Linked DNA regions of Mytilus edulis. The protein of the gene in region 2 interacts with the protein of the main gene of each other region in a biochemical or structural test. Links are inferred from orthologs where the notes say so. Each region holds a gene or a part of one and is shown on either strand. Other genes may lie near its edges. The genes, in order: roundabout homolog 1-like and protein slit-like.

What was found.
Region 1: the proteins of protein slit-like (region 2) and roundabout homolog 1-like form a complex in vitro, tested with the Drosophila melanogaster proteins (2 studies listed by BioGRID). The link is inferred for Mytilus edulis from reciprocal best matches to the Drosophila melanogaster genes sli and robo1.

Annotation. Positions count from the first base shown.
Region 1 is NC_092348.1:87,627,463-87,640,471, reverse strand, and holds the start of roundabout homolog 1-like, read right to left. Parts: upstream 5,695-13,009; 5' UTR 5,582-5,694; intron 1-5,581.
Region 2 is NC_092347.1:16,749,671-16,763,015, forward strand, and holds the start of protein slit-like, read right to left. Parts: upstream 4,991-13,345; 5' UTR 4,693-4,990; coding exon 4,511-4,692; intron 2,611-4,510; coding exon 2,539-2,610; intron 950-2,538; coding exon 878-949; intron 1-877.

The DNA.
Region 1 (13,009 bases), on a different chromosome or scaffold from region 2:
TTGACCAATCAATGTGTTGTCTGCCTCTCTTCAACTTGTGATTTTTTATTTACCTCTTGGCATTTCCATGTAGTATAATTTGATATTAAGAAAAAATAGATATGTCAAAGCGACATGAATGGCCCCGTAAAAAAAAAAAATCTGTATAAGGGTTTGTTGCGGAATGACGGAATTACGGAATTTCAGACAAGGGTAAAACTATATGGCACCAATAACTTTGTTGCGAGCCATAAAAAGACTACTTTATTAATCCCAATTCCAGAATAGTCTCCTCAATGAAAGTAATTTTAGTGAGGCAGTTTCCAGTGAGGTCTAAAGGTACGAGTGTATTATCTAATATGTGTCCTCAGACTGGCAACTGAATGATGAATACAGTATATAATGTTTTGTATCTTTTGTGGTATAATTTACACATAAGTTATCAGAGTAAAAATAATAATAAAAAGTTCACTAAATATTCCACAAAATCATTGAATGATATTGAAAACTGTTATATTTTCAACTTCGTACATTATTTGGCATTTTAAACATTTTTTTATTCGAGAGTCACTGATGAGTCTTTTTCAGACGAAACGCGCGTCTGGTGTAAGTGTAAAATTTTAGTCCTGGTATCTATGATGAGTTTATTTTCAACTTGTACTATAATGCACCTATATATATATATAATTATAAGGTATCTTAGTACAATTTCTTTATCCTGTCTGATGATCCCTATTACATAAACATTAATACCCATTTTACAAAAATTATAAAGAAGATGTTTTATACATATATACATTTTCTTACCCTTCATACTGCGGAAAGTACAATCGGACTCTGTTTGAAATGTATCATTAAACAGTCTTTATAGGTCTTAAACACCCATTTTATGCTAAAGGTCATTACATTAGACTGTTTATGATTTATGTCATTCTATTTATGTGCAGCAGCATGCCTTTTAAGCACAACATTTTTCATTCTTGTCAAAATACCAGAGTTTGCATGCGTCTAAAAATGTAACACATGTCATATATTAGGAAAATACAACTTTCAGCTTAAAAACTTTTAAATGCATACAATGGGATTGATGAATCTCCTGCTGGTGGCATGCTTTCAAACTAGCCAAATCAATGATTGTTACACAAAATTAAATCTTTTTGTCCACTTCAGTTATTAGTCGCTTAAATGTAACCTTTCAAATTGATCCCTTAAACCTCCTTCACTATTCATTCACCAATGGACTTTTATAGCTTTTGTTCGTTAAAACATCTTTTCAACCAGAAATCTCTTTTAAGATTTCTAAAAGAAGGTGGCTCACAATGTAAACAAAAAATCTTTACTTTTCTCATTTACCAGATGTCCAAAAAATATAATTATGTTTTGGTTTAAATAAGTGGATTAAAAAATCAATGTAGAAAAAAATGTAGGAAACAAATAGAAAATGACAGGAAGGGTGTAATAAGGTTACTGTTTATTGTGCCGATTTAACTAGATTTTCTTATAGCTAGACGAGAGATAATTCTCTTCCTATTCTTATTTATAGCAATTAAAGGATTTCCTTAAAACTGGTGTATTCTATGTTCTATTCTTGAACAATATGAATGATTCAGGTTGGGAAAAAAAATCAAATCCATTCAATTACTAACTGCATTTTTGAAACAAATTTAGCATTGATTATAAGATTTTGCCAATATTTCTAAATATTTTGCAACTTTATATGTAAACATATGACAATTTAAATGTCAGAATGAGGTCTAAAGCCTTTAGCATTGTCTTGTGGTTTTTTTTCTTTGGTGAACAAAAAAGTATCATAATGAATCTATTCTGTCCGTAAAAAATGTGAGTAATCTATCTGTTTTGACAATTTGTTGTGCTCCAATCAATGCATCTATGATTAAATGAAGTATACTTTTTTGGTAAATTAGTCATTTATCTGCCGATATTGTGATTACATTACATAACTTTGTAGTGATAAATGCTTTAGGTGGCAAATGACAATAAAATAACATTTTCTCATGTTGTGAGAACATTCCAGTAAACAAATTTCTTCCAACATTTTTGTATAATTCTACATTTGATATGAATTACTGTTGCAATTATCACTCAAAGCACAAAGGTAAATACATGTTTGATGAATTATCATCATGGCCTTGATTTACGTCAAGAAATGTGTAACACACAGTGTCATACCATCATCATCCATGTACTATCCTGAACCTTCAGATAACAAGTTTTACTTTAACTACCTGATAAAAATCCTCTGGAGACCAGAAACTCTACTATCTGGAGCAGCCTTGTGTAACCCCAGGCAGCAAAGGGGCAGGCATTGAAATATAAACCCAGTGAGCTAAGTGGTCAGTATGAAAACATTACATTTACCAATTTACAATTAACTAAGAAAAGAGGTCAAGGGCAGGTTAACCCTGACAGACAGACAGGTAAATTCTAAAATCATGGTATACACAGAATATAGTTAACCTTCTATCTGTGTGTATAGCCACAATGAAACAAATCTTATTCCCACTGAGAACACACGAACAGTATTCTTCACTGTCACTTCCAAGTTAAAATGGGATATTTTAAATTTAATGCTGTTCAAGCAAGTAATTAGAATTCTAATCTGAAAATTCAAAAAGTAATGCTATAACAACTTTCAATCTCTTAAATGCAGAAAAGGTAAAAACTGGAACAAATTGAGACAGTAACTGAGATCTGAACAAATACCAAAATACAGCTCAGAAATCAAAACAACAACAGCTACATATAACTCTGTCATTCCACTTAATTTGCAACAATCTATTGGCACAGAGACTGCAATTTAAATGTAAATATAAAAAAGAAGATGTGGTATGATTGCCAATGAGACAACTATTCACAAAAGACCAAAATGACACAGACATTAACAACTATAGGTCACCGTACGGCCTTCAACAATAAGCAAAGCCTGTACCGCATAGTCAGCTATAAAAGGCCCTGATAAGACAATGTAAAACAATTCAAACAAGAAAACTAATGGCCTTATTTATGTAAATAAAAATGAAGGAAAAACAAATATGTAACGCATAAACAAACGACAACCACTGAATTACAGGCTCCTGACTTGGGACAGGTAAGTTAATTGGATAATAAAAACATGAAAATTATAACCTCTTCTGTTTATTTATAGTCTAGTCATTCTAGCATAAATTTGACCCTATTTACCTTGAAGTAAATGCAACAGAAGATTTAAAAAGTTTTGATCTTTCGCATTATACCCTAAAAAATCCTATTCTAATTTTTTAAATAATAAACAATAGAGTGAAAGAGTTTACCATAAAAAGAAACAATCTTTGTAAGTACAACTTGTCAACTTCCAAGTAAGGATCGAAGCTCATAAACTCGGCAATAAATAATAAACGCAGGACTAGGGCAAGTCTGGAGCGCGGACAACCTTGCTCTGTACAACTAGTACTGAACAATAGTGATTTTGGATTGATTATCATCCAGTGGCAAATATTACATGATCTTCTACTGAACAATAATTATAAGTCATTAAAATAACTTTTTTTAATAACAATTTCTTTCTATCCTATGTTACATATACATTACATTTTTTTTTCTTCAAATACAAACATTGATCAACTAGAAAGGTATTTCTTCCTTCTTGTAGTTATATGAAGATTAAACATTCAAGTTTTTTTTTCAAACAATAAATGAAACCAACTGACTGTTTGCACACATGTAAATGATTTTTTTTCAATCATTCTCGAGAATCATTCAAGAAAATCTTACATTGTACTTCAGATAAAATTTTGTTCATCTCAAAACCAGTGATTTAAATTAAGTTACATTGCTCAGATTTTTATATGATGTAACTATCTATAAAGATTTACACATCTCACAACATTTCAAATAAATAAAAAAAATAATGATGGAGCTGATCTTGCTTCAAGTTGTTCTACATTTCTATTCCAAATAGACGAAAGCTAAATTGCATATCTATCAAATATAACCGGAACTAAATTCGATTAGCGAATGTGATGGTTTACAAATATTATTTGATAAGGAAGGGGGATAATCATAAATAGTCAATTAGAGAATTGATGATATCGTAATGACAACTAAACTTCCGCTGGGAATTAATTTATATAGCCGCCAACCTGTATAATGACTTTTAATTTCATTAGAGATAGTATCATAGCTATAGTTATTTGTATAACTACCCTATGTGAAAATAGAATGAAAGTTACAATGCATGAAATTCCCTTACAAGAAATCAAATTACAATCTGACTTTTGTGGAAGCAGTTAATATTTCAGAATATGAAAATATGACTTTTACAAATTAACTGTATATCATATACAATTTTGTTTTATGATCAAATAAAGGTAATTGTTTACTACAAAATTATTTGGATATGTTATTGTAACAAATGGTGGATCCCATTAGTACATTAATCAATTTGCTTATTACTTGAATATTGGAATATATGGTACTGTGGATTTATTCAGGGTTCTCACTAAGGTGAGTCCATGAGTCCTGGACTCATCAAAATCTGTCTGGCTTCACCATTTTCAAAACTGGTGAGTCCACAGATGCATCAAGATTGAAATATTTTGTATAAACTGAACACAGTTAAACACAAATATCATCATTTTATAGCAAAAGTTTAAAAGTGATCTGAATTTAATGTCATTTCATTGCTGTGTTAGCATGAATAGGAAATGGAGACTAAAATATTACATTATATTGCAATAAAATATTTTCTTCTTTCTGTTGGACTCATCATGGCTAAAAATGATGAATCCCTGGACTTGCCTTCAAAAATCCTTAGCGAGAACCCTGTTTATTGCTAGTTGGATACCAATTAAATAGGTGGATTTTGTTGGTATATATGAGCCACAGATTTAAAAGGTCAACCAAGTACAAATTGTCTATTGACTTGTATTCAGTCTTTTGTAAAAACACAAATCAAATATCCACCAAAATTCAACTTTATTTCATTCCCGAAAAATAAATGAAGCTACAGAACTTTGAGTGTGCTACAATTAATGTACAGTAGGTCAGAGAATATAGTTCTAGCAAAGTGGAAACTTTAAAATAACCACTGTTATATTTTTTATCCCAAAACACTGTAATAATTTTAGAATAATACAATAAGTTGCTTAACTGATACTAAAACTCCTAATTTAAAGTATCAGTAACCAGGAATCAGGTGTTTAGCAGATCCTCAAACGCCTGACACATTGCAAATCATCACAGTGAAGCAGTTGACAAAATCTGACGTAATTCTGGTTAACAGTTACTGAGAACAACATTCAAATATTTAATGGCTATAGACACATTGTTTGATAGACAATATGTCTTTTTGGACAATTTCTAAAGTTGCTTACATCTAACAAAACCTACCAAGCATAAAATTGTAAGAAAGCCATTTCCAAATCAATGCCATTGCATATCATATAACTCTAATCAAATCAAGTTAGAACTGCATTTGTCAATGTTTTGTTTCAGAAATCTCATCTTAATTTCATCTTGAATATGTGCAAAATTACTCTGTACTTAACAAGCAAGCACTATACAGCAAGTTGTTGTAATCTTTATAAGACCCTTAACCTCTCACCGTGAACTCTATTTACCCAGTAGGTTCATCCATAACTATTCATATACATTCTTCTGAGGTTGATGTAGACTCAGGCAATTTCTCTCACACTAAGCCTTGGACCTAAAACCCTGAAATTATAAAGAGATCAATCTCAATCAAAGATCAAGCACTTCACCAAGTTTGGTCAACATTACCATATTGTGTCATTTCTTTAAACTTTTAAACTCAGTCCCAGGCAGTATTTCTCACCATACCTCTCGGACATTGTAGTGTAAACCAAAATTAAAACACTGGTAAATGATATATATTTAAACTAGTTTTAGTTCTTTCGCTACAGACATGTTATTCATTTGCTCCCGCTTTCTAGATTATTTGCCATTTTTATTTTCTTGTTCCAGTTACTGGTTATCATGTTAGTAAATTTAATGTGAATGATTTTTATTGTGTTAAAAGTTTTGTGACGTATGGAACTTGAAAGTCTAAGTTGGAGGTTTATGCATAAAACAGGTTTAATCAACAGCACCAACTTTTGTGCCTGTACCAAGTTTGTCCACACGTGTTGTTCAATGTTGTTTGTCTTTGTTTATATGTTTGCTATTTCAGAGGTGTCCCACGTTGATGGTTGATGTCGTCTGTTCATGGCAACAAAAGTAAGACCAAAGAATGATTCAGTTGGAATAATTAGTCCAAGAATGGTGACAAGTCTTTCTCCAGTCTGTTACCCTGTGAACTAGCACATTAAAAACTAACTCAGGTTGTTGTATTAACATTTGATATAAACATAACAATCCTTCAAAGAAATGTAGGTGTGAGAGTGCTTACATTGTCATTTTCTATGAAATTAATGTTTCTAAAGGGAATAATCATGTAAAATGGTTGATAAGTGCTGATTTTTTAAATCATTTGAGACATTCTTGATATAAATTGTTGATATAAATTATTGTTATCTGGCAATAATTGGACATTTGAGGGCACTAACATTTTTCTATAGAATTTACAATATTAAGGGCAGAAATCTTGTACAAATCACTGATCAAAACATTCTTGTATTAACCTTCAATATAAATTTCATAAATATCTGGGAAGTATTGTACTCAAGAGAGCACTTACAATGCTATTTTCTATAGAATTAATTTTTCCAAGGAGTATAATTCTTTTAAATAAGTTGATTAGCACATTTACTGATTTAGAAACCAGATATCATCCTGATTTAGACTGAACTGTTCAACACTATTTGAAGTATATTATGCTGAATTACACTAAGTGTACTGTGGCAAGAATGTTAAGGCTGGGTGGAACACATATTCCTTATACATATTCATAAGTGGATAGATATACAAACGGTAAAGCATACACACAAAAAAGTGAGTATAATCCATTTGCAACTTTGTATAAGTTTTCTGCTGATTAAAACATCAAATCTAGTATTAGGCTTGTTAAATGTTCTCATGGAACAATTTTTCTCCTTTTATTTCTCCTCCTGAACTAATAAACTCTTATCTCTCATTCTGTAACCAAACAAACATGGTTCCTTAACCAATTCCATACAAACTAGGCGAGCTAATTTTTCTTCAATTTGCAAACTTATTAATCAATCAATCCTATCACTGACCAATCATTTGATCTATGGAAATACCGCCAGACAATGTTATCTAATATGTAACAAACCATGAGGAAATTCCAATCTCATTTCAGACAAATTATACTGACAGTTCTCTGTATCAATAATAACTGGCACAACACAAAGGTCAGAGTAGAATAGAACATCAGTAAGTATAGGGTGTATACAAACTATTGACAAAGGATACAGACATTAGTACTATTGTAGTGTACTGTATTAATCAAGGGTGTCGTTGACGTAGAGTCATTGATTAATAATCAATCACAAAATCATCAGCTGATGATAGTTGGGAGGAAAACACAGATAAACCAAACTTAATTCCCAAACATTATCAGCAAAACAAGCGGAAATTATAAATTAGCTGTCTAAATGAGAAACTGGAAGAAATGCCCTCTTGTTGCCCGGATTAACACAAAAAATGATGTATATTTATAAGAAGGTTATATCGTGGTGGCAGGATCATGCATAAAGATAGTATCGTTTCAATTTGGACACAGTAATCAGAATGGCGATTACTCACTCAGAACATATATAATAGAATCTGTCAGATTGATTCATTCAACGATGCTCGTCATATTTCTGGCCACAAAGTACATAAATGGAATTGTTCATATTGAAGATTTTATTAATTAGGTTTTATCTTGTGAAGGAAAGATGTATCGGTATATGACAAGGGAGGCGTGAGAACCAACAGGTCCATTTTTACACTTGTCATATTTTTTTATACCGACCCAACTGTTGTATTTAATACATTTCTACTTTATTAGGTTATTGCCTGAATATATGGGATTGTCTATTTACAACAGTTTTCATACTCATTTAACTCTTAAAGAATCTATATCAATAATCATTTGTATTTACTCCAGCAACAGGTAAATCAATACAGTCAATGTATTTTGACAGCATATTCAATTTTATTGTGGGGCCTAAAGTCTTTTAAATATTGATACAAATTGTTTGATAACATTCCACATTTAGAGAATTTTCATTTTTCAAAGAACTTTTCTCAAGGACACTGACAGATAGAGGGCGCTGAATCATTAGAGTTAGTGATGTCCAAGAAGTTTACCGTTTTGAGTCATTAGAACTGTTTCATTTTTAAACTGTTGCCTTCCCTCAACTATTCTTGATAACTGCTATGAATCTAGTGCGATTTCAACAATTTTGTTTGTGAAACTTGCACCAACTTTGAACTTATCTCATGGCAGAAATTGAGTGGAAACATTTCCAGATCCTTGCTGTAAATCTGGTCTTTTTGATAAATTTTTAGAGTTTTGTGGCTGGAAAAAAAATTAAAATCATGCAAAATCAGTTCACTATGCACAGTTTCACATTTAGTTGAAACTTTTTTAGTTTTTTTTTTTTACAACATCTATAAGCTAGTCAATAAAACATCTTATGAGAGAAAAAATATGGAAATCCTACTTTGAAACATGAACAATAAATTTCCATGTTCAAAATTCTAGTTTATTCAAGTTCAATTCAATTCAACTATTATACAAGTCATTCAAAATACAATTGATTTTTTTTTTTTTTTTTTTATTATTATTTTCTTGTTCACTCTTAAGGTTATATATTTATCAAGGAATCAAGCAATAATAATCTGCATATATAACCCTTAAAACAAAATGTTTAACCCTGCTCTACCACAAACATGTTTATAAAATCACCTCAAACCATGATTACTATTCCATTTAAACTCAAATAAAAAATGTTTCCAGTAGATCACCATCAGGAAAATTAAATACGATAATTTTTTTATCGTAAGCTTACGGGAATGTTCAACATAATTTCAAATTAAATAGTAGTACAGAATGACATGATTTTCCGCCCTTGGCTTTTTAAGCAGGAAGTACCGATTTTTCAAGTAAAATGTTTTCTGCTGTTAATATTAAACTCTAATAGGTTTATCAGTTAGGTAATGAGGAACCCTCCACTGAAATTGACATTATTAACTTGCAAAGTCATAATATGCATTAGAAGTATTTCATTCTTGATTGAAAATGGGGAGGCAAATTGTCAAATGCATTAAGTTAATGAAAGGGTTGACAATAACTACATAGTTTACACGATGTTTTTCTATCTGTAGGCTATAAGTTACATTTGGATTAACACATTTTTAATACAGTTTTAATTTGTTTATAACATATTTCTTACATGAGCAAAAAAACAATATCCATTTTCTCATGGCAGTTATAAAATAAAATTAGTCACAAATGGTAGGCAAATATCTCACTCTTCAAAATTCCAGATGGAACATTGTTTAAACTTGTATAAGTTTTCATTTCAAAATGGTTAAAAAAAAAACCTGCAAGGAGGCACAAAAATTGAGGCTTGGTAAGGTTAGTATAGTTTCCTTTCAGGTCTAACAAGAATGTGTCCCCAGTACACGGATGCCCCATCCGCACTATCATTTTCTATGTTCAGTGGACCGTGAAAATGGGGTTAAATCTCTAATTTGGAATTAAAATTAGAAAGATCATATCATACAGAACATATGTACTAAGTTTCAAGTTGATTAGACTTCAACTTCATCAATCAAAGCGCGAAAGCGCTGTAAAGGCAGTTAATTACAGGTTGTGTGTATTTCTAGTCCAGTTATATCATTATCTTACATAGAACAGAGGTGGTTTGTAGTATTTAAGATTTAGAGTTCTCTTGTACCTAGTTCACCTATATCTATAGTCTACTGTTTACTGTATATTTTCTGTACCTCGCCATGAAATGCATTTTTAAGACATAAGAACTTTTCCTTTTTAATGTAAATAAAACTATTTTTAATTATTGATTATATACACATATTCAATTACTCCTATCCTATGAAAAATAATTCACAAAGATTGACTAGTCTCCGTTCTGTGTGTATTGCTAGAACATCAAGTAACATAATGGTTAATGTGTAACAGTTTATTTCTTCCTCTGTGATATTTTATCCTGAGGATAATTTGTCCCGGTAATTTTTTTCCAGGCATGGTATTTCACAGGTTGATTTTTTCCAGAGGAGTGAAAATCTATCTGTGTTATGCAGATAGTATGTACCGGTCTATATTTGCCGTACTATATTTCACAGAACCGTGTGAAATAGAGTCCCATTAACTACTATGTAAGTTACTCACAATCAATATATACCTGACTATAATTATAAAATACTTCACAAAGGTAGACCAAATTTGCATAATTTATCAAAGGGAGGTAATTATGAGCAATTTATATTTTAAAGATATTAATATATATTTCTGAATCTATTTTGTAGTGAAATTTTTCCTTCAATCTTATTTTTTATATATTCATTTATATAAAAAGATGACTTACAACTTGATTTTATAAGACAGATAACATTTCACAGGTAAAAACTATCCAGCTGTTAAACATGCTTTTGTTCCAATATATTATTATGCTATGATTTATCTGATTTCCATATAATCAACAACTACATCTCTGTCTCCAGACAAAACTATTTATATAGTTAAAAATATCATCATAATCAAATTCTTCTATTACTGTTAACAGTAGTAATGCAACTATATTTCTACCTTACTTTTAAATGTATATTTGTACTGAGATCTGAAAACAACTCACTTTTACATCATCGGTATTTCACTAACCTTATTTAATCATGATATTATTTCATCGGTATTTCACTAACCTTATTTAATCATGATATCATTTTCACAATTACGATCTTTGAAATTACTTCTGGTTTTCTTCCCTATGTTTCATGATAATTTTCTTTTTTAAAAGGATGATATTGACTTGAATATTTAAGGAAATTTTTTCAAGGATAATTTGTGAAATTATTTCTCATTATAATACATTTTTTTTTTGTAACAATTTCGCTTTATTTCAAATACACTATTATTATTTCATAGTATTTTGAAGGATAAGTTTTTTTCTAATAACTATTCAATAAGTTAACTACCCAGATAGAATTTCACGGCAAAGGAAAACATATCCCAGGGAAATACATAGTAACATGTCAACTCTTTTGAAGACAGAACTTTTTTAAAATTCTCCCTCCAAGCAAAATTATTTTTCAGTATAAACATGATAAAGTTATCTACCTGTATTAATGACCTAGAGACTCTCAAGAGCCTGTGTCGCTCACCTTGGACGGTCTATGTGCATATTAAACAACGGACATATATAAAATGACAAAATTGTGTTTTTGATGATGGGGATGTGTTTGTAGATCTTTCTTTACTGAACATTCTTGGTGCTACAATTATCTCTATAGATATATCTATAATAAACATGGCCCAGTATTTACAGTTGAAAATATTTTTTAAAAATTAACAAAAAATACAAAAATTTATGAAAATTGTTAAAAATTGACTATAAAGGGCAATAACTCTTTAAGGGGTCAACTTAAAATTTTGGTCATATTGACTTATTTGTAGATCTTACTTTGCAGAACATTATTGCTGTTTACAGTTTATCTCTATCTATAATAATATTTAACATAATAACCAAACTCTGCAAAATTTCCTTCAAATTACTAATTTGGGGGCAGCAATCCATCAACGGGTTGTCAGATTTGTCTGAAAATTCCTGGGCAGATAGATCTTCACTGAAGAGACAATTTCACCCTATGTCAGATTTGCTCTAAATGCTTTGGTTTCAGAGTTATAAGCCAAAATCTACATTTTACCTGTATGTTCTATTTTTGGCCATAGTGGCCATCTCGGTTGGTTGACCGGGTCTAACCACACATTTTTTAAATTAGATACCGCAATGATGATTTTGGCTAAGTTTGGTTAAATTTGGCACAGTAGTTTCAGAGAAGATTTTTTGTAAAAGTTTATGGACGACGAAACCAAGTGATGAGTCAGGTCAGGTGAGCTAAAAAGGAGTTTTTAATCAAGGTAACAATGACATCTGGTGGCCATAAAAGCTGTCTCATTAGCATTTTAACCACTTCCCATATTTGCTTTTAAGACAATAGAAGAAAATTATTCAATGCAAAAACAAAACTTACTTGTAAATATGAAATTCTCTTTACAGTATGAGTTTTTCTCATTGTTGGAGATTGTACAGTAGTACAGTCCTGTAACTGCTTATACCCATTTCTTATCCCCTTTAGTTTGATAAACTCACAGAATATCATATATTTACATTGTGCCACATCTCCTTATTTTTATATGCATTACAATAACATGAACAATTGTAATTCAAATCTATATATCAAAGCAAAATGAATTTCACTACTTTCATTCATGCATCCTTTGGAAAAATATAAGTTCTAAAATGACACAATATATGTTTATTTATATAAAAATAATATTTAGTTTTCGACTCTGAACAGGTATAAACAAGAATGTGTCCCCAGTACACGAATGCCCCACTCGCACTATCATTTTCCATGTTCGATTGGACTTCAACTTCATCAAAAACTACCTTGACCAAAAACTTTAACCTGAAGAGGGACAGACGGACGGACGAACGGACGAACAGACGAACGGACGCACAAACCAGAAAACATAATGCCCCCCTACTATCGTAGGTGGGGCATAAAAATGCACAGCTGTGTCATGATTTGTGAAATCTGTGCTGAAAACATAGGCATTTATGGTGTTTGAGTAATTCCATCTGTGAAGCTCAACATTAGCTCGTCAGTTGGTGGTGGACAGTTATAAATCTTTCCTGCAGGATGAATGTACATATGTTCAGGAAAACCAATTTCACAAATCAAAACTTTCCTCTAGATTTCTCCTACAATATTCATCCAGTTTAGTTCTTTTGGTTTAACGGGACACCGTCCTGATTTTTAATTTTGTAAACCATTCAGTCTCTTGCTTACAAATGGTGCATGAAAATAGGATGGGAAT
Region 2 (13,345 bases):
TTATAACAGGTTCAGTTTTGTCTAATATATTATGTATAGCTTAGAAAATACAATATAGGTGCAGAAATTTTTGCTCGCCTTGGTAATTGATTGGTTAGAAGATACGATATTTTTGCATACATTGGAACATAAATATTTAATTCTAAATAATCGATAAAAAAAATCAGTTTTTATTGCCTGGTGTAAAATTATGAAAACCTTAGATACGAGGTTTTTGCATAACAGCGACGATATGTCTCTGGTCGAACAAATGCAGTAACCCGGAAGTCATTAAACTAAAAGTATAATTATCATTGAATGGACACGATAATTTTCCGGGAAAAGACCGTTATTGTGATAATTTGTAGTCACAATGTCTGCCCACTTATGTTTTTGAAATGCCCGTGGAATTTTTATCCAGGTGTCAAAAAGATTTAGCACCAAATTACGTTGTCTAACCAATCGTTTGATCATAATCTAATTACTTATAAAAATTAGTGATATGAATAGAAAGCCCTCAGGGTTACGGCTATCTGATGTACAAATCAAAGTCGTAAATTTGTCAAAAATCAAATTGTTTAATTTTCAATTATCACGTATTTATCACTCGCCAGCAGCAAAAAGGCTTTCCCATGATGTACAACAGCATTGCAATACAGAGAAAGTGTCTGTTTTAGTCCGAACTTGAAATTTCAAACGTTGTACATATTTTTTTTTTTAATTCTTTACCTTAGGCCTGGGACTATAATACTAAGGACTATTATACTACAATAACTACAAACATATTGTTGCTTTCATAAATATATATATATATTTTTAAGTTCATGCATTTTAAACTTTTTTGTATTTTTTCTTATTTCCCATTTAAAAGTACATACACAGAATTTATTGTACTTACAGTCTTTCCATGAGGACAAGGTCACGGAACGCGCCTCTTTCTATTGTCTGGATTTGATTTTCTAACAATTGCCTACAAAAATAAAATAAAGGTGCAATGAAATTTTATCCAAGTTCGATTTTAATCTGCATGGGTGGTAGATCTGTTAAATATGGAGAAAAAAGAAGAATTTCTGATATAGATAAAGATACATAATTGCTTTGCCATGCGAAAGGGAGCGATTTAAACAAAAGCTTTAGAACTTATTGATAAAAAAAAAGACTGTTACACATAATTACGACCTAATTCGGAATCAAAGTCAACGTTATACTACATATGTAGTATAACGTAATCAGAGATCAATATTTTAATCAGATTGAATGAAAGTAACAGTATTAACTTTGTGAAGACACAATATCTGCAAGTTTTCTTTATAGTGGCATTTACACATGACATATACAGTACTATATAAAATTCCGAAGACAGTACACGGTGCTCAACAGCTGATGTCGAATGTTCGATGTGGTGGTTTAAAAAAAAGTCATATTAAGCAGGGAAGTTTTAGATCATAAAATGAAGATTTGTATCCTACGCTATGCACATTAATGTTAAGACATGATATCCTCGTTATAAAAAGTCAGAGTTTGTTGATTACAGTGGGGTCTGGAGGAATCATTAATATTCTATGCAACCGTGACTTAATATTATTTCTATTCTGAAACAAAATTCCACACCAAGGTTTATGTTTTTTCTTTAATTGATATGTAAACATACATTCTGACTTAGATAGAGAGTTGTCTCATTGGCACTAATATCATCTTCTTATATCTTTTCTGAGGATAACTCCTTTACATATCGGGAAGATATTAACGAGCTTTGACTTAGCGTCGATAATACAATACCGATACATATGTACAGATACACTTAACTGACAACTATCATGGAAAAGCTGACGATCTCCTCGTGTTTTGGCTGTTTCATTCTAAATCCCATTTGGGGTATCAGTGTTTGAAATTTACTTTAATTGCCGCTAATAATCCATATATCTTGGTTTGTTTGTGTTGGAATTAATGGTTATAAAACGAAGGTGTTAAAACCAAATCTATTTCTTTTGTAAAAGCGCAAAGTGATGTAAGATTTTATATTTAGCATATCACTTCAGAAATTGTCAAATAACCTGTGAAGAAAGACGGATTACCGAATGTAAATATAAATGTTTGTTTAATTCTTATGGCCGAAATATAACCTCTTTTCGATCAATTGTTCTTGGCTTAAAGTAGATTTAGACATATAGTGCAACTCGTAAGATGCAAGTTGATGTGTGATCGAGCAGAAATGGGAATACAGAGTTCACAGAATCGATCATTTCCAAAAGTGTGACACTATTATACTTATAATAAAATAGTCCCAGCTAAAGTGTGGTTTTGTTTCGGGTTTTGCACGCTAACCCTGATGGTTCCAAAAGGATATATAAAATGTATACATGTAGGTCTTGATATATATTTTAATTTGTGTCACTCAACTGATTATAATCTTGAGCTGAAAGCATCTCTTGCATTCATTCTCCGATTGAAATTTATCAAATGAATTATTCGAGTAAAATAAATCGGGATTTTTTTAACGGAAAACGAGGACTTGCACATGTCTATTCATCTAAAGAGAACCGATGTATGATGACTTACAATACTTTTAATTGTCTCAGACCCTGGAGATCATTCTTTCTCATAATTGTCAAATTGTTTCCTTGGAGTTCTCTGTAAAAAAATAAAACAAACATTATAATATTGTGACAGTAATATGTTCTGAGTTTGGCGGACAATCTACGTATTTGAGTAAAACTTCAAGGTATTGTAAAAATACCTATGTAGATGTAAAGGTTGCCTGTAGATATTTGCCTGTAGGGATAAAACGTTAATTGGTCATTGTCGTGAAAGAAATACAGTGTTATGCATTGCACTTTTTTTGCCAATATTTTACCATTGATACCGTGTTTAGTGAATTGTTAAAAAATACTCATATAGTTTGTTTGACAAAATTGTGAAAATAACAAGAATCCCTGGATATTGCTAACCATAACTTTTGTTCTAACTGAACTTCTGTGACTTTTGTTTACATACTATGCTCTCTTGGGGTATTTTTTTTTTTTTTTTGCAGTGGAATTTTTAAGAATTCACATACAACAGAGACGTATATATGTCTCTGCATACAATTTGTACTCTGATATATTTGTCCATTAAAATCAATTTTAGTATGAAAATAAATCAGTCGCTTTTCAAACCTGATTTATCTTATTCCATTGATGCTATATCTATTTTATATGCTCCTTTATGGATATCATTTAGCAGTGATTTTTATATAAAATGCCTGCATATTTACAAGGTATAGTTGTATTGCATGTAATTTAACGAAACATTAAGAAAAAGGCTTTTAGCAAAACATGTCTTTAGAATGCATTTTTTTCAATTATGAACATCACATGAAATTATACTTTAAAATAAAAATTGTTTGTTGCTTGTTTGTCTATACATATCGTCCACCTTTCCGGGGTTACCAGACAAATGTCCACGTCAATATAGTTCAATATATAATTTATCAGTTTGTGTATGTTAAATATACGGTATTACCCATAGAAGTAACAATAGGCTTGTTATGTTTAATCTGAATGTAAGAAATCATTGGCCATGTACATGTAGCATTGTGGCAACGTCGTCACGTTAAAGTCGTCCGTCGCCCGTTAGATAATGTGTGAAAACATGGAGTAACAAAATATCTCAATTACTTTATTGACTTAAGATTGTTTTCTTTGTGATATGTATCAGATAAGACAATCACTAAACGAGAATTATGCAGGTTTACTGATATCAATAAACCCAGACGGATTAATTTCTATTTAAGCGTATACTTTGAAATGTACAGTAATTTAATTCAAATCCGGTGCAGAATGTATAATAGAATTATAATACTTCAAAAGTTTATATACTTAAAGGTCGTTGTAAAAGTGTGCACTATAAGCAAGTTGAGCAACTTGTAAACTCAGTAGATCATAAACATATAGAATGGATTTGGGTGCCTCTACCAAATCAGAGTTTTGTTATTTAACTTTTTTTCCATCGGTAAAGGGCTTTTTAAAATTTCTTAAATGCATTCGTGATATTCCTTGTGTGATTGGGTATTGTTTTAAACTGAGATGAAACAGAGATTTAAAAATTGTCTTTCGAAAATCAATTAAGCTGCAAATGGATAGTTGGATTTCCTGTAGTGACAAAAATAACATTGCACAACGTACATGTTGCCTTTGATGTACATGTAAATATGTAAATCTGACATACATTAACAAGGTCTCTATATTAAAACTTTTATATCTATATTTAACAGTTGTTATTGCTTAGGTAGTATTTTGAAGGCAATTAGCATTACAAGAGAGGCGAAAGATACCAAAGGGACATTCAAACTCAAAAGTAGACAATATTAAAGCTTCAATTGTCGTATGGTTTGAGGGTTTTCGCTAATGCAATAAAAAGAAACTGAGAAATAAAATTAGATCGATTCGTTGTCAAATAAAATTGTAGACACAAACTGTGTCCACTGAAACTGAACAATATACGAAAAGCTCCCCAATACGTCACTATTTATCTTTTAAATCATAATACTTACAACTTTTGTGTGTCTTTTGGAATATTTGTAGGTACATATGACAGTTTTCTGTAACTACAATCCACATTTTTACCCTGACAGACACATTCTGTAGGACATCCTAGAACACTTTCTAAATACACAATTAAACTAATTAAACAAATCCAATGAAATCGGTACTTGAATGGATGTCTTCCTCCCATTTTACAGTAAATATTTTATATTTTTCACAAAAATTTTAAACTCCTAGTATACAACAAAATCAATCACATTGCAAGGCTAGCCCTTTAAACACTCAGGTATTGACTATTAAACTTGATATTCCTTTAAGTTAATTGCTCCACGAGGTATTTGATAAATTTCTTCAATTTTTCAAACCACTTTCACCAATCAAAAATAATCCATTAGACAATCAGAACAAAAACATATTTTTATAATTTTTCACAAAAACTCCCTACTCCAGTGATTACACTAACATAGGTATGATCCATTCCACGAGTCAGGGGTGGGCGGGATTATTTTCTGTTTCGTACACCAATGAAATTAGCCGGTAGCAATTTAGACAGGTGATATACCACATCAAAAACAAATATTGCATTTTTTTTATTATTAATTATGAATTCATACATATGGTATTATTCTACGAGTCGACTCTTAAATTTTTTGTGTACCAATTAGCTCAATTACCAAAATGTCTTTGTCTGATAAAGGCTAAGGACAGTAACTTTATTTCCGTAAATGTTGTTATAATTACAAGAAAACGTACAGAAAAAAGAAGTTTGTATTTGACCGAAATTACCGTAACACTTTGTAATTATAGCCTCCATTTAAGATGTCAAACAAAAGAAAAAGAAATGTAGACAGAAAATGTAAATAAAAAGAAACAAGTTTTTATGATACTAAATAGCCTTACGTGTATAAGTTAATCTCAATTATATAATATTTTTGATGTGTACTGCATTTTTAAAAAATAATAATCACGTTGCATAAAAACTGTAATGCTAGTAATAATCAAAATGAATTGTGTGATATGTTCGAATTAACAAAACGCTTTATGATCGATGCAAAATTTAAAGTATTTCATATTTGTAGCATATCGACGTTGTTTAAAAATTGGAATGCCATAACATGTTTTCTATATATTCTATTTGTAAGTTTTGACATTTTATCGGCATAAAACAGAGAAAAAAAGCAGGATTATAATACATATAAGATCTACACATACTGAAATCTAGAACCCCATGAGACAACAACACTCCACGCTATCCGCAGACTTAATGTCTCAAATCTAAGAATAAGAAAGATGACAGGAATTAACACCATTTCTCATGAGATATTCTTATAACAAAACTAACAATTGACAAAAAGATTCCTTTGGAATGACGAACGTATGCCTGTTCAAACGAGGTTTGAGGAATTAGTTAATAATTATAACTATATAATGTGTTATATATTTATTTGACTTCGTCTTTTTAGTCATGGCGTTGTCAGTTTATTTTCAATCTATGAGTTTGAATGTCTCTTTGGTATCTTTCATCCCTCTTTTAAAACATCGGTGGATTCGTTGGATTTAGGGTGAATTAAAAGTAAATAAATATAATGTTAGCTGTGCTTTTATCTTTGAACAGCCTAGTGTCTATATAATGTGCATGTAACTATTCCCAATTATGTGCATACAATGCCAAATCTCTGGGTATTATACTTGGTCAAATTTTCTGACCAAAGACAAACAAATTGCAGCAGCATCGATTATAGTATATTATCTTATTCGGTTTTACATCAGCATAGTTGGATATAATTTATTAACGAGGGGGACTCAACTGCCAGAAAAAGACTCATTTACAATATGCTGTAATTGACGTGAGAGGAAACAATTAGTCTTAACTGTCCAGGACTAGACACTAACGATGTCAGCCATAAGACAAAAAAATCGTCGGCTCTGATTGTTATACAAGAAAAACACATTGTGAATGAACTAATTACGAGAACAAATGGTTTATCTGTCCATTATCGGTATTCTTTAAAATATATGATGGACATACATTACATTTGGCAATATCATTATTTAGACGAGCTTATAGTACAGATGGGATAGAAATTTGAAAGTTTCATTTGTCATTGATCTGTCGTGGTATCTCCCTTAGTGTTCTGCCAGTCTTATAATGAAATACTGAGATTTCTACGGTAAAACAAATTTTGTTATGCAAAAATAAAAATTCGTACAAGACTAAATTTACGAGGAAAAAAATGAAGATTGTTGTGACCATTTATATCATTCTCTGAGGTCATTCAAATTCTTGGTGATGGTAGATTTATGTTGCTTTATTCCCTGAAAAGCATGTTTTGTCTTAGATGTAGAGAATGCGGTACAAAAAAAAATAATACCAAAAAAATAAACGAACAGTCGTAAAATATAGTTCCTTTGTTTACATTTTACATCGACACACAACCTTATGCACTGAACCCATATAATCTCAAAATCAGTATTTTGTACTGATTTGGGTGGGTATGAAACTTCATATAGCTGAGCAGTCTGACTAACATGCAAGGCAAGGCCCAAGTTGTACTTATACAAGTTTTTTTTAAAATAATTACAAATGAAGAAAAAATAGGAAAAACTAAATATTTCAGCAATAAAAAAAAATGAAATTCGGACACTTCCTGTTAATAATCAAAATATCAAATTTTAGATAGACGAGATTACTTTTGAGAGACTAGATAAATCAAATACTATTAATTCTAAACCCTAGTTTAACAAAAGACAGACTACTTCCCTAGTTTAAACGTGTTATCTTTTATGCTATCTATATAATTGCAAAAATGATGCTTATGTCCGTCAAACAGTTTCCCCAAAACAGTGTATTTGTATGTGCATTTTATCTTAATCCCTTATTTAGCCAATTTTTATGTGTAATGGATTTGTGATATGTCATATAGTCGACCCTTATGAGTAAAATATGAAAAATATAAATATGTGTATATATGTCTCTGGTAAAATCTACTGTTTCAGACATCTTCAATGAGTACTTTGATAAGATATAGAAACCAATTGAGCAGACGTCCATTGTACATGCAGCGACTCGTCTGTCTATTGACTTTTTGACAATTGAATACACTTGTCGAACTCCTACAACTTTTACAAGGTGTTGGCCTTTCACACGACAATTATTTTATTGTATCTGTAAATCATTTGTTAATTTGATGAAGATGACCATTATAACTGTCCACTGACCAGTAAACCGTCATTCGTCATGACAAAACTTCACCTAGGGTGACAATCGATAATGGTCAACTGTCCCCCAATGTTTATTTTGTTGTTATTTATGTTTATACGCTTGTCACAATACTGTCCTCAACTTAGATTTGATGCTCATCACTATATAAGCAAGGAGACTTACAAGTACATATCTTTACTTCTTGATTTCCCCTGTTACTGAATAGGGCGGTGTTATGTTACTACAACTATCGATGCAACTCATAAGGGCGAAATATGCCCTTTGTATGTAGTTTGGACTATTTTGTTTAGGTCTTTTAAACATTGGTTTTACGATCGCAAATGTTTTTAAATAAAATTAAGAAGATGTGGTATAATTGCCTATGAGACAACTCTGCACAAGGGACAAAATTACACAAATCGAACAACTATAGGTTAATGAGTAAAGCCAATACTAGTACCCGCATTGTGAGCAATTAAAGGCCACGAAATGACAAATGTGAAACAATTGAAGCGAGAAAACCAACGGCCTAATTTATGTACCCCAAAAATGAACAAAACACAAATATATAACACAGCAACACACGACAACCACTGATTTACATGCTCCTGACTTTGGACGGGCAGAAATAGAATGTGACGGGTTAAATTAAAAGCACCTACCCTTTCTAATATGGTACAGTGGTGTAACAGTAAAACATAAGATCAAACTATATATTTTTTCCAGATGGATGCAAAATAGAAATACATCTAACAAAACGCAGAGTTGACGTGGCAGGGTACCTTTACATCCCAAAACAAAAAGACACTATAAGTACAGATTTGATAGTGCTTACAGTAACTGCTAGCTAGCTAGTCGAAAGCAAATGACAACCAATATAAACAAAAATTGTAAGGGTTGTGCGGAACCCAGTGTCTCGTCTCCTTTATGACTCTAATAAACGTTTAAAGAACTTTAACTGCAGACTGTTTGTAATGTTAACTGGAAGTCCATAATATAAGTAACGTACAGAAAAACAGGAAATACATTTTTTTTACAAAAGTTTCTTCCAGAGACTAGCTTTTGATCATAGACAAGTTTCTTTTCAAGTTTGGGAGAAATCAAGGATAGTTTAAGAAAGTTATTAAAATAAAAAAAAAAGCAAAAAAAAACACAGACTATAGTTAATGTTATGTTATACCTGACAGAAAAAAAACCTTATAAAATTGAGAATGGAAATGGGGAATGTGTCAAAGAGACAAAAACCCGACCATAGAGCAGACAACAGCCGAAGGCCACCAATTGGTCTTCAATGCAGCGAGAAACTCCCGCACCGGAGGCGTCCTTCAGCTGACCCCTTAACAAATATGTATACTAGTTCGGTGATCATGGACGTCATACTAAACTCCGAATTATACACAAGAAACTAAAATTAAAAATCATACAAGACTAGCAAAGGGCAGAGGTTCCTGACTTGGGACAGGCGCAAAATTGCGGCAGGGTTAAACATGTTTTTTGAGATCTCAACCCTCCCCTTTACTTCTATCTGTAGAAAAAAACAAACGCACAACAATACGCACAGTAAAACTCAGTTTTAGAGAATTCCATTTATAAGTAAAATACGGAGAAAAAGGATTTTACAAAATTTACTTCTGGATAATATCTTATGATAAAAAACAAGCTTTTGTCCCAAGTTTGGTTGAAATCCATGATAGTTTAAGAAAGTTATTCAAATATTAGAAACTTTAACCACAGAGTGACTGTTATGTTAACTGTTATGTTAACTGGCAGAAAAAGTAAGTAAAATATGGGAAAACAGGATATTTTTTTCACAAAATTTACCTCTGGATACTATCTTATGATCATAAACAAGCTTCTGTTCAAGTTTAGTAGAAATCCAGGATAGTTTAAGAAAGTTATTCAAATTTTAAAAACTTTAACCACAAAGTGAATAATTGTATACGCCGCCGACGACGGAATGTAGGATCGCTTAGTTTCGCTTTTTCGACAAAAGTTGACGGCTCGTAAAAAATCATGCATCTAGGACTAAAATTTAGGACCCCATATCGATCAGTACACATCCAACATTAAATAGATAAAGTGTAAAAGCGTCATTAACAGTCAGAGAAAAGACATGACTTTGTGCAAAGATACATATATCGACATATTGTAACCATGAATTTGCATACGATATAAGATAATATTTAGTTTGATTTATAAAACCAGGTTCCATCAACCATTTTCTACATTTGAAAATGTCTGTACCAAGTCAGGAATATGACAGTTGTAGTTCATTCGTTTGATGTTCAGTGTTTTATCATTTGATTTTGCAATTTGATTAGGGACTTTCCGTTTTAAATTTTTCTTGGAGTTCAGTATTTTTGTGATTTTACTGTTTAGATTTACTAATAAAAAAAATTAATATTACTACAAATACAAATAATAATCAGTGATATAAGAACAGTGTTGAATTGAAACCTTTAAGAATAATTTTATCAAAAGGATCGATAAGTTTACCCGATCGTTTCTAAGTTTACGGGCTCGGTAAATAACATAGATCTCCGTAAAAAATAGGATGTGCTATCCCGTTTAAAATAACTTCAAAACCAAATCTTATATCTATGGAAGAATTTGGTAAAGTTTTTAAGTAACTTGTAACGAAATCCCCGAATTAATAATTAACCAGTAAAACATAGATTACTATACGTTTATTGAAATCCAAAACGTCACAACAGACACGGGTATAGCGAACGAGCGAACGAGTTTTGATATCAAACACCGCATGATGGTAGAAAAGATATTCATCGCACAAAAAGGAAAATAAACAATAGGGAACGACAAATCGTAGTGTAGAGTTTTCCGTGTCAAGCTGAATTAGTTTAAATCTAGGCAAGGATGCATGTATACTGATCCCTTTTTGTATTTTCAGTCGAGGGTACCCAGTGAAGTTTTCCTTCAAAACAGACGCCGTGCGCACTGAACATGGTATAAAATTTATCATGTACATATAGAGATAATGTCTTTGATTAAAACAGAATCATCGCGTTTTCCTATTACAAGTCCTTCTAACTACAGAAAATGTAACTCATTTATGAAAATGTCCTATTACCTATTGATAAGATTTTTTTGATAGAATTATGCTGCTATTATTGAGGCCCCTCATGGGGGGGTCCTAGTAATCACATAATCACCATTTTTTTGCCAATATAATCACATAATCATTAAATATTTGCTTATCTTTAGTAATCAAATAATCATAAACTAAAAATACAGTCCTAGGTAATCAAATAATCATGAAATATTTGGCTTAATAATCAAATAATCATTAAAAAAACGACCAAGTAATCACATAATCAAAAACCCCATGAGGGCCCTCATTATTGCTAGAGTCGTATGGTACACATATCCTTATTGTTATACGGTAGGACGTATATGGAGGTTTTTTTCAGTATTACTGCTTATGCTAATCATCATGCTGATACAATGAAGTTTCAAGATTTGGTTGATAATCTGTCTGAATGTATATATTGTACAGTACTCAATATAGAAGTCATCACTTTCCCCTTTCGTATTGGACTGCATTGTTCCACGTGATGATAGCTTTCCAACTCCGAATGAAGTAAGCCGTGTGTTTGATACCCGATTGCTTCAAATTAGATAATTAAAGATTGTTTTTCGACGTAGTCGGTATAGTTTCGGTTTGTGCCCTTTGAACTTAAGGACGCTTAACTATGGCAACAGAATACGCATGCTCTAAAATCCTTTCTGTGATTGGACAAAATGCTGTCATGGTGGGTGATTTGGTTGTGTTTGAAAAAAACGTCACGTTAATTATATCGTGATGGAAAGCAAGTGAAAAATATTTGAACTAGATCTTACAAAGATTTATATTTTTATTAAAATCATTGTTTCTCCAATAGCTCTTTGCATCCATGACAGCTGTTTATTCGGGACAATTATATAATTTTTAATGTTTACTTTGTTGTACGAACGTACATGACTTTTAGAACGCACCTACGCATGTGAGATTTCCGCGGGGTTTTGGTGAATGTAAACAGAAAGATACGAGGACCGAGAATACTGAACAAAAACAGAGAACACGTTATTTAATCGAAATATTCACAAAACAATTTGTAACGTTCTTTTGTTGGTAATTCATTGATTTTTAGATAGTTAGAGCATTGTTGTTCACAAGATGAAGGTAGTGAACGGGCGTTGCCACCAAGGACAAATTGTGTCAAACTATGCAGGTTTTCAGTGCACTGCAATCGCCTTCTTGTAGTTACATTCAGATGGAGATTTATTTAAAGAGGTCCTGCATCATTAAGTCATTGTGCTTCTGAAGGTTATCGAAATGATAGTTTTAAACATATACTCAAATTTAAAAACGTCGGATATCTTTTTTAAAGATAGTTCTTGTTTTTATCTGCTACTCCTGCTCCAATGATGTAACATTTAGGACCAATTGCAGAGATGTGTTCATTTTGGATCAGAATAACTCGGCGTTTTAAAAATCGAAACACATCAGTCTAATACAAAGACGGGTATATTAACATTTTTTTTCAAATATTATCATTCTGAATATGTATTATATATTTGCTATTGTAAATGTGAAAATCATCGAACACTCAATTAGCCATTCGCAGAGGATGATTTATGGTGTTGTCTCTGAACCATCACAGTTTCAGGTTATGATGCTCATGATGCTCATGGTTGTACTGGAAATGAAATGACATCGCCAGTTCGTGTTTACCTGACTGTATGCTGTTTGCTGAAACTGATGACACCACGATACTATCTGGTTACCACGAAAAAACTAAAGTACATGGCCTTGCATGTTTTATATTTTTCATATAGACAAAGCACATAAGCAGAAATTAAAATCAAGAATACAAAAAATAGCACAACAACACATTGGCGCGATGTATGAATACCGAGCTACGCCAAAAGAGTATAAATAAAAATGGACTTAACAGCAAATGTTGATAAGTTACGAAGATAACTTTATACAAGAAGACTTTACTAATAACGCGTAATATAGATGATAAACGACGTCAGTACGTGCAATCTATATTTAAAGGCCATCATGTATTATTTCGGAAGTTGTTACGGAATATTTACCAACAAGGTCTTGTCATCTTCCGATGATTTTTTGTTTAGAAAAAAAAAACACTAAACGTTCTTTGACATAACCCTTGTTCATCAACTTTCTGTTCAGACACTGGTCACGTTTTATAAAATCTGGGTAGGGGCTGCAAGCTCTTGAATACCGAATGACATATAAAATGCATATTCCTTATGCAGGTGGGTGAAGTTTATATATTTCTACTAAGGTGGGGGGAAATTGATGATTTCAAAATCAAAATTGTTTTGTTTGTTATAGATTCTGGTACGTACATGACCGCTTATGTCAAATTCGAGGAATTAGTCTGAAAAAAAACGCAGAGGGAGCGGTGTCTGTTGTATATTTTATTTCTAGGTCTGGAAGATATATTAATAGAACCCAATCAAAAATGATTGCATTGTAAATGGAAAGAACATAATCAATATACCTGTATCTGAATGTGAAATGGGACTATCAGGCTTCTTTGATCGTATTCTTTTGGACTAGTGTCTGAATCAGCTCCGATTCATATGAAAATTAGAAAGAAAGTCACACAGT